Linked DNA regions of Lepisosteus oculatus. Each later gene encodes a partner of the first gene's protein in a complex. Links are inferred from orthologs where the notes say so. Each region holds a gene or a part of one and is shown on either strand. Other genes may lie near its edges. The genes, in order: pak4 and itgb5.

What was found.
Region 2: the proteins of pak4 (region 1) and itgb5 are in contact, whole or in part, in a crystal structure (PDB 7S46), measured with the Homo sapiens proteins. The link is inferred for Lepisosteus oculatus from reciprocal best matches to the Homo sapiens genes PAK4 and ITGB5. Residues at the interface, in NP_001014831.1 of Homo sapiens: Gly330, Ser331, Gln358, Arg359, Leu362, Thr404, Lys442, Ser443, Asp444, Asp458, Phe461, Leu475, Val476, Gly477, Thr478, Pro479, Tyr480, Trp481, Met482, Glu507, Glu512, Phe516, Asn517, Glu518, Pro519, Pro520, Met524; in NP_002204.2 of Homo sapiens: Ser762, Arg763, Ala764, Arg765, Tyr766, Glu767, Met768, Ala769, Ser770.

The regions. Positions count from the first base shown.
Region 1 is NC_090698.1:5,422,714-5,430,015, forward strand, and holds the start of pak4 (serine/threonine-protein kinase PAK 4), read left to right. Parts: upstream 1-3,944; 5' UTR 3,945-4,562; intron 4,563-7,302. UniProt on the Homo sapiens protein: Serine/threonine-protein kinase that plays a role in a variety of different signaling pathways including cytoskeleton regulation, cell adhesion turnover, cell migration, growth, proliferation or cell survival.
Region 2 is NC_090707.1:5,076,700-5,083,945, reverse strand, and holds the start of itgb5 (integrin beta-5), read left to right. Parts: upstream 1-4,203; 5' UTR 4,204-4,739; coding exon 4,740-4,815; intron 4,816-5,277; coding exon 5,278-5,363; intron 5,364-6,835; coding exon 6,836-7,043; intron 7,044-7,246. Other genes in the region: uncharacterized protein, read left to right, coding at 1-231, 690-1,010.

The DNA.
Region 1 (7,302 bases):
TCGCTGGGGTTGCCATGGCGACGCGTGCCGCCAGGCAGGGCGGGCTTGCAGGGGAGCCCCGGCGGACGAGGGCTTTAGCGCCGTGCCCGCCCTGGCGCGGCTGAGCCCCAGCAGCCGACACCAGGAGCCCACAGCGGTCCCAGCAGGGCCACCAGTTGTGCTCAGTTAACCCATGCAGGATCTGATTGTTTAAGGAGTTTTTTTTTTTTGGAATTGCAGATGAGCCTTTTCTTTTATTGCGTGCCCTGGGTCGCACAGTGGCGTGGCAGGCAGTTAGCACTGCAGCCTCACCGCTGTTGGACTCTGGGGCTGGTCCTGGGTTGCTGTGGCGTCTGTGTGGAGTGTGCATGTTCCACTAGTGCTCACATGGTCTTCTTCTGGGTGTTTGGGTGTCTTCTCACCTCCAGGCATATGGATATGGATTTTTCTAAATTTGCCCTGTGCTTCCAGGATAGTCTTTGGCTTCCTATGACCCATCAAGGCAAGCAGCTCTCTGTGTGACTAGGTCGATTATACATCCTGGCAGTTTGGCACTGTCAGTTGCATTGAGACTCTGCCTTCTTTCTACGATTTCATTCGTGTGCCCTTTTTTTTCTCTGACACGCATTCACCATTTGGCACGCTGTGAGCTCCACAGTGCCAGCAGGAGAGCTAGTCCAGGCCTGAGAAGAGGTGCCTCTCTCAGGGAGACGCCCTGCAGTTCACAGAGTCGACTGGACCGTGGCTGAGCCACACCCACCCTAACCTGCCACCCTTCGGGGAAACCCTGAGCTGGCTTCCGCAGTGACCCGGCTCACACATGAAACGTCAGGGCCTTGGTCCTCAGTTTGCACTCTGTCACAGCCTTTACTGATGGAGCCTCTTAGGAGCCCACGTCATCTTTGTCTACCGCTTTTTTTGACAATGGCTAGGGAAGTAGCAGTGCATGCATGATCATAATCTCCGATCGATGCTGACATTTACCCACTGAGTGCAGTTCCTGTTGTGCAAGCAGTGTGCATCTCTAGGGGTGCTTGTCTTTTTCCTCCCTGCTTCTCTACGGTCGTACCTCTGCTCTTACTGTCATGTCTTTCACAGAAGATGACGTCTCTGCTTTCTGCCCCACAGAGTGCTGCACTGGCATCGACTGCACCTGGAATACAGTGGGATAAACTGGTCCCTTTTCAAATTGTGTTGAATTCACCATTTAAAACACTTCTCGTTTGGTGGACATCATAAATGACAATAGCTGTTTCAAACCAATGTTTTCCCAAATGTATTCTACAGTTGGTGTATCTCTGCTAAGCTCTGAAGACCTTAAAGAGATGCAAAGAAAGCAAGCCGGGTTTTGGGCTTTAGCACCACGGTTGGATAACTTGCTCCATACCTCCACAACTGTTTGCGTAAAGAAGTGCCGCCTGTTTTCTGTTTTAAATTCACTTACATATAGGTTTCCCTTGTGTCCTCAGGTTCCCTCTACAGAAATCCTCTGGGTTAACCTTACTGGTGACTTTGAGGATTTTAAACACTTAAATCAGGTTCCCTCACAGTCTTCTCTTTTCAAGACTAAAGAAATTCAGTTCTTGTTGTTCCTAAGTCTTCAGGGAAGGGAGTCTGATGGTTTTCAGTCTCTTGATAGGTGGCTGTTGAGTGTTGGGCTCTTCCACATTAAGGGCATGATGATGGTGGTTCAGTATCAGGTGGGATGTTACTGTTTGTCAGCAATCTTCATCATGGAGAGTTGCAGTGCTCCTCTGAAGACAGGAGATCAAACGGAGACAAGAAACATTGACTTTGTTTAGCCTAAACACAAAAATGCATTCAGTACACAGACTGCTGTACTTGCATGCATACAGATCTGGCATGCATATGTTGGGTACTATAAATAAGATAGAATTTTATTTCGTTTTTAAGTTATCCAGCAAGGATATTTTCCAAGAAACAAAGAAAATACTTTTTTAAAAACAGGTATATGAGCATGTTTTAATATGTTTGTAGTGTTGGGGGTTAAATAAACTGAAAAAAACATTTTATTTATTGAGCTGAGCTGTAATTTCACAGATGACAGCCTCAGACTGCCATAGTTAGGCAGTCACGCTGGCTGCCCTGGGGGTTGTGTTCTGAATGCATCTGTATTGATTTCCTCATGTACAGCAGGCAGTAGCCTTTCTCTTGCCTTTGCCCAGTTATTTTCCCTTTTGTATATCCCATTACCCCTTCAGCTATTTGAAACAGCTGAAAATTAACAGTATAGCCGAGGACCCCGCCTTCAATATTCTTGTTTCACCAGCATCTCTCGATCCAAATGAGTGTTGTTGGTTTTTTTTACATTCCAAGCAAATTTGACACAACCCAGAGGAGACACAATGCAATGACATAGACGTGCATTTTAAACTGAGAACAGGAGGCCCTTCTTTATACAAAGGGTTGTGGGAGTATGAAACAAGATACCTAGCTATACTGTTGAGGCTGATACCCCCTGGCTTCTTTCAAGCAATGACTGGATGAGATCCTTGGATCAATTAGCTACTAACTCCCAAACAGGCCAGATGGGCCACTTAGCGTCCTCTTACTTCCTTATGTGAAAACTGAATTTGAAAGTGTGTTCTAATCTGTTTATGGACAACGTCCTGTCATTGAGTATGTCCTTCCCCAGCCTAATCTGGGTGGGTGACACTAAGCGTTCGGTATTTGATTGCGTTTTCACCTGGATTTGTTGTCATTTTCGAGACAGAGGAGCTTCTGCTACCATTAATAACGATTTTTGACATCCGTCTCCTTCAGTATCGTACTACTGCTGTTCCCATCTCCTGTTACCTGATATATTGAAAACCTGCAGTTGTGTTGCTTGTCATTTTCAGCAGATGCAGTCAGAGCAAATGTCTTTTTCACTTTCACTGCATTATTGAACTTTGTCTTGCCATTTTCTAGCTGAGAACTCCTACAGAAGTGACAAACTCTCTGCAGAATACATATCCTTAGCAACACACATCCTCACATAAAATAGGTTGAAGTTGGAAGCATATTAGTTTCCAAGCTATTCACATTCCAGACGATGCTAGATCCTGTTGCATATTAAATACATTCATCGAATATTCATTCAAAGATCATTTGCATTTATTTTATCCCCCTGGCAAGAGAACACATCACACCACCCACTCAATGAAAAACTAGCTTTTCTACCAAATGAAAAACCCTTTTTAACCCTTTGAGGGGTTAGGGGTTAGGGTTGTGTGTTCTACCTGTGTTTGCATGGGTTTCTGCTGGGTTCTCTGGTTCAGTGCACAGTCCAAAGATGTTATGGTAAGATCTTAACCCCAATTTAATTAAGTAGGTTAACTGGCTTCTGGTAAAATTGGCCCTGGTGCAAGTGTGGGTTGTCTGTGTGTGTGTCTGCCCTCTGATGGACTGGCATCCTGCCCAGGGTGTGCCCTGCCTTGTGCCCATTGATCGCAGGGATTGTCTCTGGCTCCCCTGGCACCCTGTATTGGATAAAGCAGTTAGATGTAGGATGTGTGGATATCATCTTCAAGAAAACATGTTTTAGGCTCAGAACACAAAAGCCCATTCATGTAATTCACTGAATTGTGCGATGACCTTAGCAGTCAGGAGCACTTAGATATTTAAAATGAGCCCCACCCCTGTGAATGTCTGGAGCTGTCGATTTGGCCTCGATTTGATTCTCAGATCAATGTTTTCAGCACGATTGTGCAGCAGGTTTCAGACATGAAGTAATTTTAGAGCCATCTTCTTTTAAATGAATCCTGAACAGACCCCTACACACACACACAGCCAGACTCTGAGGTATGGTCTGGTTTTCCTCCAACGTGACCTTTTCTCTTCTACCGATGTCACATGATGACTATTATGTCCATGTTAGGCTCATTCGTTGCTTACTGGTGGCGTGCTTTCTAACGAAGACTTGTTAGTTTTATCACCCACGGCTCTCAAGATTTAGTTTCTCCTTAGGCAGGTACCCTTTACAACAGCAAAGCTGATTGATTTAATTCAGACACACACAATCTTGCGGTAAATATTTTTTTTCCTGGAATCCTGCAGTTGTTTTTTTTGCCCGCAGCATAAACTGCACACATTAGACTCCAACATAATACGATAAAGATCCGATCGACTTGGCAGGCAATTAACATATTGTCAATTAACTATCTCATCATCTTAGGGCGAATCCCTTTCGGCGACATAATTACATTTTACATCTTCGGAAAACAGCTTCTGGTGGAGAGTATGTTATATTTAGACTATAACAAGGAGCGAAACCGAATGCGGCAGAGGCGATTTTAAGGGTCCGTTACTGAGACAAAACTGAAGTCCGGAGACTCTGGCTCCTGTACTGTCCAGCAGTCAGTCCGCGGTTGCTAGGGGCTCAGTTCCTACGCTGGTTGCTATGGAGCTGGAGTGACTCCAATGTCCCGGATATTGCGATCCCTGTCCCAACATGGCGACGAGAAAGTGAGGTCGCGGCTGGGGATCTACGGAATAGGATATAATCAATAACAGCAGAGAGAGAAACTCGCTGGGGTTTTTCGGAGTTGCTTTAGAACGGGAGACACCAAGGAAACACCCAGGTAGGAAACGATATAAACTTCATACATTGTTTGGCTTTATATTTTATTATTTTTTGTATCTTTTGTGAAAGGGTCAGTGGAGTTCAGTCGTGGCTATCTACAGTTTCTACTTTGTCATTTGTGAAAACTTGCGGTGTGGCTCAAGAGCTAGGTCGTGTCCAAGTATCGGAGGTTGTTTTGTTTTTAAATTTTAGTGGATTATTCGCCCTTCTTTCGGCGAAAACCGAAACCGTTGACCTATTTAGGAATGTATCTGAAAATCTGTGCAAGTCCGGTCGTGGTTTGTTTTTTTCCCAATCGTTTTCAAAACAAACAAAAATCAAACCGGAGCACACCGCAAGACCTGGCTGTCGTGGTCACTCGTCCAGGTCAGGCTGCGTTTGGATCGATGTGTTGGGCAGTTCTCTGAAGTGGACCTACAGCATGGCACACTCCGCGAGTCCAAACACGATTATTATCAGCGTGACTTATCATTATGAGCTGCAGTATACGGGGAAGAAATGCAGTTTGCTCCACTTTCCGGCAGCGGATTCATGTTGGATCAATTCAACATACCGTCCTGTGTTTCGAGTCCTTTTGCAGCCATTATTGGACCATATCAAGACATCTGCTGTACTTGGGAAATGTTCATGTGATACTCCTGGGCGAGTGCTGATCTCCACGTACACCACAGCGCGCATTTAGTGCCCGTCTTACGGCAGAAACGACTACTGTGTGTGTATATATATATGTGTGTGTAAATCGTATGTAATAAATACTGTCGTGCGGCGCAGTAGCCGCTGCTGATACAGAGTAATCGTGCCGCGGGGCGCCGACACCCCGTCCACTCCGGCTGGGTGGTCGTGTGCGGCGTCCCTTGTGAAAGTTGGGAGAACATGAGGGTGTGAGGCGGAGAGGGGAAACCGAGGCACAGCAAATCATGTGACTGCAAATGTGCGATATATTGGTAACGTGCAGGACTTGACACCTCCCTGTGAAGAAACCTGCCGCCCCCAGAAATGCCTTTCCTTATTTCTTAGAAATGAAATCGCAGGCTCTTGGCGCATTGGTGATGGACCACCTGTTGACTCTTACATTCGGGTTTATCTTTTTAATTTCTGTGCTTCCAATTACACTGCTGCTTTTTTTTTAATAAGTGATTGGGATCGTAATTCTACCGCCGGTATTTTAATAAAGTGTCGCTGTTGTTGTTTGTAATTTAACGGTATCGATCGGTGCGGTCTGCATCGTGCTGGTTCCCAATAACGATTTACAATTCACTGATAAGACTCTTTGGGAGAAAGCTGCCAGCGGAAACAGATATGGGTGTGTGAGGTTGTTTTGAGATCAGGGTTGTTTAAGGTTTGTCTGTCAAGCCGCTCCGTGAAGCTAAGTGCTGACCTTCAAAGGTTTCATTTGATCACTTCGTGTAAAAGCGAGAAAACCGCATCACTGATGAACAAGGGAGCAGCGCAGAAATTGACAGAGGGTTCAGCAATCCCAATGAGCACATTTGCCATTATTTATCCTCTTCCTCGCCTGACATGTCCCTTCCCTGAAACACCTGTCCTTCACGTCTAAATTGCTTCTACCCCAAAATTTCTTCTAAATAATCATCTGTTGTCCCAGACACAGGTAAATATTATTACCTTCTTTGTCCTTTTTCTGAAGGGCACTTTCCTGATCAGATACTCAACAGGACAGCGTGGTGGCGCCGTGGTTTGCATTGCTGGTGTCCCAGCTTTACTTCCGGACCAGGGGTGCTGCCTGTGTGGAGATGGCGTGTTCTCCTCATGCTGGCGTGTTCTCCTCATGCTGGGCGCTCCGGTTTCCTCCCACAATCCCAAAACATTCTGGAAGGCTAATTGGCTTCTAGCGAGGAAAAAAAAAACCCTGCGTTTGGCCTGAGATCGACTGGTGTCCCATCCAGGGGGTACCCCGCCTTTGCACCCGTTGTTTGGCCGGATAGGCACGGCTCTCCCGCGGCCGTGAATCGGAAGAAGCAGTTGGAAAATGGACGGATGGCGATATTTAACATTTGTTTTCTAAATAAAAAAAATAAAGGCTAAAGGGATATTTCGCTCTGGAACAAGACACTCTGTTATTCTCTAGTTATTCGTGTGACTGTTCCCCACATAAAAGGCAGTTAACACATGGATAGCAATGTCAGTAGTGCAACACGCTGCACTCTCAGGTTAGTGGAGGAGGTTAGTGCACTAATAAATAGTGGTCAAATAAAAGTGACCAGTACGCGAGTCACATGTGCTTTAATAATCTTCAGTAGCAATTCCTTCAGCTTCCTTTTTCTCTCAAAGTGGAAGGTCTGGCTCTGAATTGGTTTTGCATCTGGGTTTCGGATGGCACATGCCTGCTGGTTGAGAGTGGCTGAGTTAGACATGACTGCCATTCCCCTTTGGATCCATTCCTTCCTTTCCTGGAACACGGCCGGCCTCATGTCGAGAGGTCAAAGGTTATAACATTAAGATACCTAGGGCAGCTCCAGGAGGGGAGAGAGGGCATCAGGCCTTGAATGCCTGTGGTGTACTGTTCAAAACAGTACAGTGTAATATAGGATTATATACTGTAGCAGCCTTAGTTCTTCACATGGTCAACTTCAAGGCACTTTGCACAAAGCAGTAAAGGAAAAGAAGCTCAAGGAGCTGCCATTCCCCTTTGGATCCATTCCTTCCCTTCCTGGAACACGACCGGCCTCATGTCGAGAGGTCAAAGGTTATAACATTAAGATACCTAGGGTACAGTA
Region 2 (7,246 bases), on another chromosome or scaffold:
GAAGATGGCAGTCAGATGACTCAACGCCCACCTCCCTTCCCCAAGACGGTTTACAACCGCCATCATGACGACGAAGAAAACGATGATGACGATGATGGCAGTTATGCAGGAAAGATAAAAAATCAGAGTTTCCCTCAAGATCAGGGACGTATACTGTCTGGAAATGTTTACTCATTTCCAAAGGCATCTGTTCCCTCAAAACCAGGTGGCTCTCAGAATTTTGGTTACAAAGTAAGTTTTGTTTTTGAATTTGTATGGTACATTAGCCCTATTTTGTGGCTCTTCTGCAGTTTGCTTGGTGGCCTTTTTTTGGATATGAGCTGTTTAGGTAGGAAAAGAGTGGATAATAGTACCTACTGATGAAAAACATCATCAAACATTTAATATATTTTAAGCCATAAATTGGATGATCTATGTTTTTATTCTGAATACACATTATTCATTAATTCTTTGTGATCCTGGTTCTAAAATTTTAAGAGTGAGCCCTAGCAGGATGAATAATGAATCTGTAAAACAAAAATATTTTCTTAAGGATTCATTTTCCAACATTTTGGAAAATCAGTTTTGGACATGTTGGATGCCATTTTTAATTGGGAAAGTCTAGATTATTCTTTTCTTTCCTTGAAGCAGATGCACACCACTTCCAGGCTGATGTTTCTTTTGATTAACAAAAATATCTTCCTTTTCAGCCTGCTGGCAACCCCTACAACAGCAGTGCCAACGACCGTGACCCCTACAACAGCAGCGCCAACGACTGTAACCCCTACAACAGCAGTGCCAACGACTGTAAGCCCTACAACAGCAGCGCCAACGTCTGTAACCCCTACAACAGCAGTGCCAACGACTGTAAGCCCTACAACGGCAGGTCCAACGACCGTGACCCCTACAACAGCAGCGCCAATGACTGTGACCCCTACAACAGGACATCAACGAGGGGAGCTGCAGGGAATGGTTATGGCCATAGAGGATACAGAGCAGCTGTTCTGCATAGAGGGAAACCTCAGCTGTGATCAAAGATTAGATTTCTTCAACAGAATCACAAAAGAGAATTCTTCATTGAAACATGTTATGGAATATGAGTGATTCTGCTAGAATAATTCATTATATGAAACTACTGCCATAGACCTTGAGATGAAAAATTAGTCCTGAAGTATAAGCTTTTTCAAAGATGATTGGGTAAAGTGTTACAATCTGTTCTCTTTCTTGTTTCCATGTGAGTGTTCTGTAATTCAAGATAACAAGAAAAACAAAAAACGTTTTCTGTATGTGCAAAATGTAGTGATTGGGCAGCAACTTTGTACTAAGAGTATTATTTTATTATGGTAGCACAGCACAACTGAGAGCAAAGTGAAAAGAAATGCTCCACTGATTTATTTTATTGATCTAGCTCTAGTTTATTGCAATAATCGATACCGTCCGTAAAAAAATAGCTTCTCACAATGAGATGTTTGTTTGAGGTTAATACTAAACTACTTTCATAAAATGATATAAATAAAAATAATATCTATCTCACAGCATCTATATTTTAATGATTTCAATAATTATAAATATATTCCACATTTGTTATTTACAGTAGGTCAGAAGTGAAAGTGTTAATAAAATTAGGGGATTTTGTCATCTGTTATAACACTCCCTGTGAAGAGATGGCCATTCACCTGTTATCATTTGTCATTTCTTCTATGTGAGAAATTCCATTTGTTTGGCTCTTTCCATCCCAGATGTTCTCCAGCACTTTATATACGGTATAAGAAGGAGACCAGTTTTGTGCACCAGAGCTGCACCCATCTGAGTGGCACATGGCAGCCCTACTGCACAGCAGGACACATGGAGATGTGAGAAATTACTCCACTTGAATGGAGGGATTTACTAGGATGGCCAGAACATTCCAGCTCGAGGCAGAATTTAGCCAGAACACTGGAATTAATGCGTATGGGGTCATGGGATTGATAATGACAAAGTAGTCAGCACCTCAGTCTACTGTCTCACCTACAGGATGTCAGCTTCTACAGCACAGTGTCCCCAGTTGCCTTTCTGGCGCCACCTACTGGTCCACCACCATGACTGGTGACTCGCGTATTATTGTAATCTTAAACTTTCTTCAGAGGAGGGCTATTTCAAATCACCCCTTTCACTTCATTCAATCTTTAGGACGGCATCGCTACTTTGATCCAGCAAAACATGAGTCTGGACGATCCACATGCCAAGTATCTTAATAACCGGTGTTCCCTAGAGGTTTGGCCAATTTTAAACATCATCCCTGATGTGCAGCAGGCAGGAGGACCCCTGGCCTACTGCGTGACAGTTCCTAGCTAACAGAGGAAGCAGACTTGTAAAGCACAGCCTGTCTTTCTGACACTTCATGTAGTGGTCCAGAGCTCCAGAAACAGGTGAACCACAACCATCTGTGAACACCCACGCTCGCTGACTGGTGATCATTGGCTGGTGGGGAAGCCTGTTTTTAACCAGTTGTCCCTGCTAAAGGACCAACAATGCCAACTGAAAGCACATCAATAATATATGGCTATTAAAGAAAAGTGATGCTGCTTGAAAAGATATCGTAACACAACGGGGTTCAGGCGGGTGCCCTTGGCGTATCAGGTTGGCCCTGCACCGTCAGGGGCTCGAACCCAGGACTCCTGCGTCACTCAACAGGGACCCAGCCCGGTGAGCCAAAGAGAGAGATCTCTCTACAGCCCAGGGGCTGTGGTCCTGCTATTACTGGTAAGCCGGCTCTTACACAGTACCTGTCGGCCATATGCGTTACAATATGATAAACAACAAACCAGGGTGACAGGTCAGTCAGTCTACTGTATGAAGTCATGAAGGAAAGCTGGTTGTTGGTTTTGCACACTGCTAACATTTCACCCTCCTTTCTGGGGATCACCTGAACACGTTGAGAAGCTTACAGGTGTCCCTGAATACTCCCGGTGGAAACCACAGCTCTGCAAGATGAAATGGTGACTGTTTCTGCCTGTACTGTCTGTACACTGTAGTCAGTCTTGAAGTTCGAGCGGGTAGGGAATGAGTTGGAAAATCAGGCCAACACCCTAGGCCCAAACAGGATCAAAACCAGGACTGACCCCGCCAGCAACGTGCTGAGCGCAATTTAATCAGCCCCCATCACAGGCAGGGTGAGGCACACTGCACAGCCCGCCAGGAAAATTCAAGTTTTTAATTTCATACTCTTCTATCCCACTAGGCGGCGCTGACATCCAAGTATTCAGGAGAGATGAGTCTTGCCAACTCAGCAGACAACTCTGGACTTTCCGCTGGTAAAATGGACATCTTAAAATATCATCTTGAATTCATTTTTTTGTTTTTAAATATTTCTACTATTTCAGCATTTTTCTCTTTGTTTAATTTTCTAAAATACAATACAGGGCTTTTCATACCCTCGGGCTTCAAAAGCAAATTTGATGCCAAAACAAGAAGGTTCGCTTGATATTAATATTCACGTAACGAGCGTATTGCCTGTACATTGTTTTTAAGGTTTTACTGAATTCTGAAGAAAACGTAACATAAAATTTAAATTATTTAAATTGAATTCTATATACTGCTTTTCTAAAAGGCTCTGTACAGCTCTGGTCTGAAGGATTTCAAACGCATTTTATAGCCGAAAAATATTGTCAGACTTGTTTATGATTAACATCCTTGCTGTCCCTAATCCAGCTCATTCACAAACTCGCAAGCGCTGTGATTACAATGTACATAACTCAACACGCAGGCAAGTGTGTACGGAATTGAACAGGTGGTAACCCAATTAACACGAGTCACCTGACTGCCGGAGGTGCCGCTTTTTAAAGAAACATTTCTATTTATCGACAAAATCCGGATTTAAGTAGAACGAAACGAGCTACAATGTCCGAAATAAGCTTAAACCTAAAAAAAAAACCGATATACATCAGAACAAAGAAGTCCAAACAAACGAGAAACAACGACCCTGGTATTTGTCTAAATAAGTAATGATATCCGTACTTAGGTGCAGCTATTTCGAGTGAAAATAAATTACAGTTTGCGAGTCCGCCTTTAAGCAGAAAGAGTGTATGATTTTTTTAAACGTAAAAAAACCCCGTCACCGAAACCAGTTGTAGCGCAAGGGGAACGCTAGAAATGCGAATGCGTGCTTCTGAGGTTTCTGAAGTGTGCTCTCGAAGATAGGGTTAACCGCAGCCCCAGCCCCCAGCCTCTGATGGGCGGAGATTTTGGATACACCGACAGTGCGCTTTTTCGTAGAAAACTTCCAGGAGAGGAAAAAAGAGAGAAGCGGGGGATGTATCCCACTTTTAGAAAACAACAATAATAATATCACAACTAGGGGAATTATACTGCCTGTTTATTTTTAGTACAGAAGAAACGAAACATGGAGAAAAAATATCGGAACTGGAGGCGCGTTGTGCGCTTTTAAGGAGAACCAACACTAGTGTTTGGAGCGGAGAGATATTCGTAATGAGAGTGGAAAACCTTGTTTAGCCGGCAGCTCCTGCCCCAGAGGTTGTTTCTTTGATGACACAACGATTTGTAACCTTTGTTTTCAAAACAAAGGTTGGCGTTATGATTTCTCGTCGCTTGGCCGGGGCAGAGGCGAACTCCGACAAAGTGGACTTATTCCCCCTTTTTGAAAGCTAATCTGCAGAATGTGGATTTGATGAGGACATTTTGACGAGTTGGAGGTCTGCGCTAGCCAGCACTTCGCAGCTGCAGGGTTTGGATAACTTCAGTTTACACAATCCTAAGAAATCATGTTGAGGAGAAGGCTCTTAATTTACTCTGTAATTAGCTGTTTGGTTTTGGAAGTTCTGATCGGCGGAGTTAAAGGTAAGAGTTTTTTTAATGCAATTTTTGGTGACTGTGTGTCGTGTTTGTGTAGGCAATTTGTTTTCCTGTGTGCTGGAACGAATTCAATTTTCTTCGAGAGGAAATAACATCCTTTAATTACTTTGTTGCATGTATTGTTAGGGGTTACTCTTAGCTTACTCTTTTGTCATACTTAAACGCTTTATACAGACTTTCACTAAAATTATTTTATCGCTGGTCGAAACCTTGTTTTTCTTTTTGCACCTGCGCTTTTCTGTTTTTTTTTTTTATATCGTTATTTATTAGCTGGTATTAACATCACCCCCTCGTTTAACTAAGGCTCTAAGGCCGTTCTTGGTGATGTGCGCTAATGGGTGTCGAAACGGGACGGGGTACAAGGAGACTCGACTGTGGTCGCGAGAAAGTGCTGTGTATTTTTATACAGTATGTGTTAGATAACCGCTTTTCTCATTTCTATGGAAGGTCTCAATATTTGCGCCGGAGGAAGCGCTACCTCCTGTGAAGAATGCCTGCTCATCCATCCTAGCTGTGCCTGGTGCGCTCAGGAGGTATCTGTGTAAATCTCTCTTACGCGTAGTGCAAAAAAAAAATGTTGCCAAGTTATTTCACTTTATTGTTGATCCAAGAGGGTGACAATTTGTCTTTGGTGTCACCATTAGAACTACAAAAAAAACATAACACTCGACTTCAAACAAATGTACCTTTAAAACAAACAGTAGTCCTCGCCATTCAACCATACACACAGTATACACATTTTGCTCTGCCCATAATACACGGTGATTAAATTAATCCGATAGCTTCACTCAGGGAGTAATCACTCAGCTGCGTTTTAAAATACCGGTTGCACAGGAAACAAAATATTTATTTTAGGCATTTTTTTCTAGGAGAAAATATTTCTTGTACATATTTCTCATACGTCAGTCTGCAAACGCGTATAATTACTGGCAAAGTTCTGTCAATTTGGATATTTTGTTTTGAATCGGTCCTGTTCACGTTCATTTAGACCGATGCCCTGACGTGAAAGTATATTTTTGAATAATGCTACTCGAGTTAAATATATTTCTGTACTGTGTTCTTGTGGATATTTCAGACCCGTGTTCCAGTTTTACGTAGTGGTTTTGATATTATCTTGACCCAACTTATTCACCCTAGGAAACTCTTCTACGGAAGCCGCAGGCGGCGGTGAAACACGTGGTATTGGTGTTTCCCGCTTGTTGCTTGTTGCTCGTTGCTTGTTGCTTGTTGCTTGTTGCTGTTGTTCGGGGTACCTTTCATGTTAACTTGTGAAGTGCGCCTGTGAGCCTGGACTATGCAGAGCCTGTGCAGCAGTAGTCGTTCTCTGCTGACAGATATCTCAGTATTAAGTTAGTGAAATTCCTTAAATAAATTATTTCACATATTTGAAGTAGTAGGCATCACTCGAAGAGCGATGGCTTGTGTGCAGTTAGTTTATCAGTTTTCTCGTGCCCACCAGTCTTCTTCCGCAAGAAGAAGCTAATAGCTAACTGTCCCAAACGTTTTTGTTTCTGCTTTATAAAGCACCTGAAATCTCAATTAAGCAGTTCAGGAAATGGTGGAAGCAACTATTTATGCCGAAAAATACTTTTGTTTTATTTAATACAGTGTACAAATAAACTGGAAAATACCAGTAATTTCAGGAATGGGTTTGTGAACTATTTCTGTTGCAGAATGGTAAACGCATTTCTCCATGTTGTGACTGCTACGCGCTTACTTTCAATTAAAACATTCAAAGGGTCCCAGTGCTATCATGACAAAAAAAATAAACACAAAGTGTCGCTGGCTTTTTGTCTGCAGAGACAATATCCTTGTACGTGGAGATTCAAGAGAACGGGGGTGATTCACAGTTGAGCTGTGCCTCAGTGCTGCACTTTCCTCAAGGGCCCCCCATGAGCTTTCCAGTCTCTCTCCGTCGGCCTGGTCACTGTCCCTGTTGCGTCTCTTATCACAGCACCCGGTCGGCGCAGGGCTGCTACCCTCCTGGTGTCGTCTTTCTCGACAGGAATTCGGGAGGGCGATGACGGTCGCGTCCCGCTGCGACTTCAGCCAGAACCTGCTGGGGAGGGGCTGCGGGAGGGGCTTCATCGAGAGTCCCAGGAGCAGCATGATGGTCCTGCAGAACAAGCCCTTAAGTTCCAAAGGCTCCGGACCCACCCAGTATGATGTCATTCAGATAATGCCGCAGAAGATAGCCCTGAACCTGCGGCCTGGTAAGACGCCGGGCCCGGGCCTGCCTGTGTCTTTTTCAGCTTTCAAAGGCTGCTATTAGTGACTCAGTCACTCATGATAAACTGAAACGAAGAATAAAGACGCGGTGTGCTGAGACACCCTTGGCAAAAATCTCAGCGAAGAGGGTGGTTAATCCAGGATCTCATCCAGCTGTTTCTTGAAGAAAGCCAGGGTCTCGGCTGTA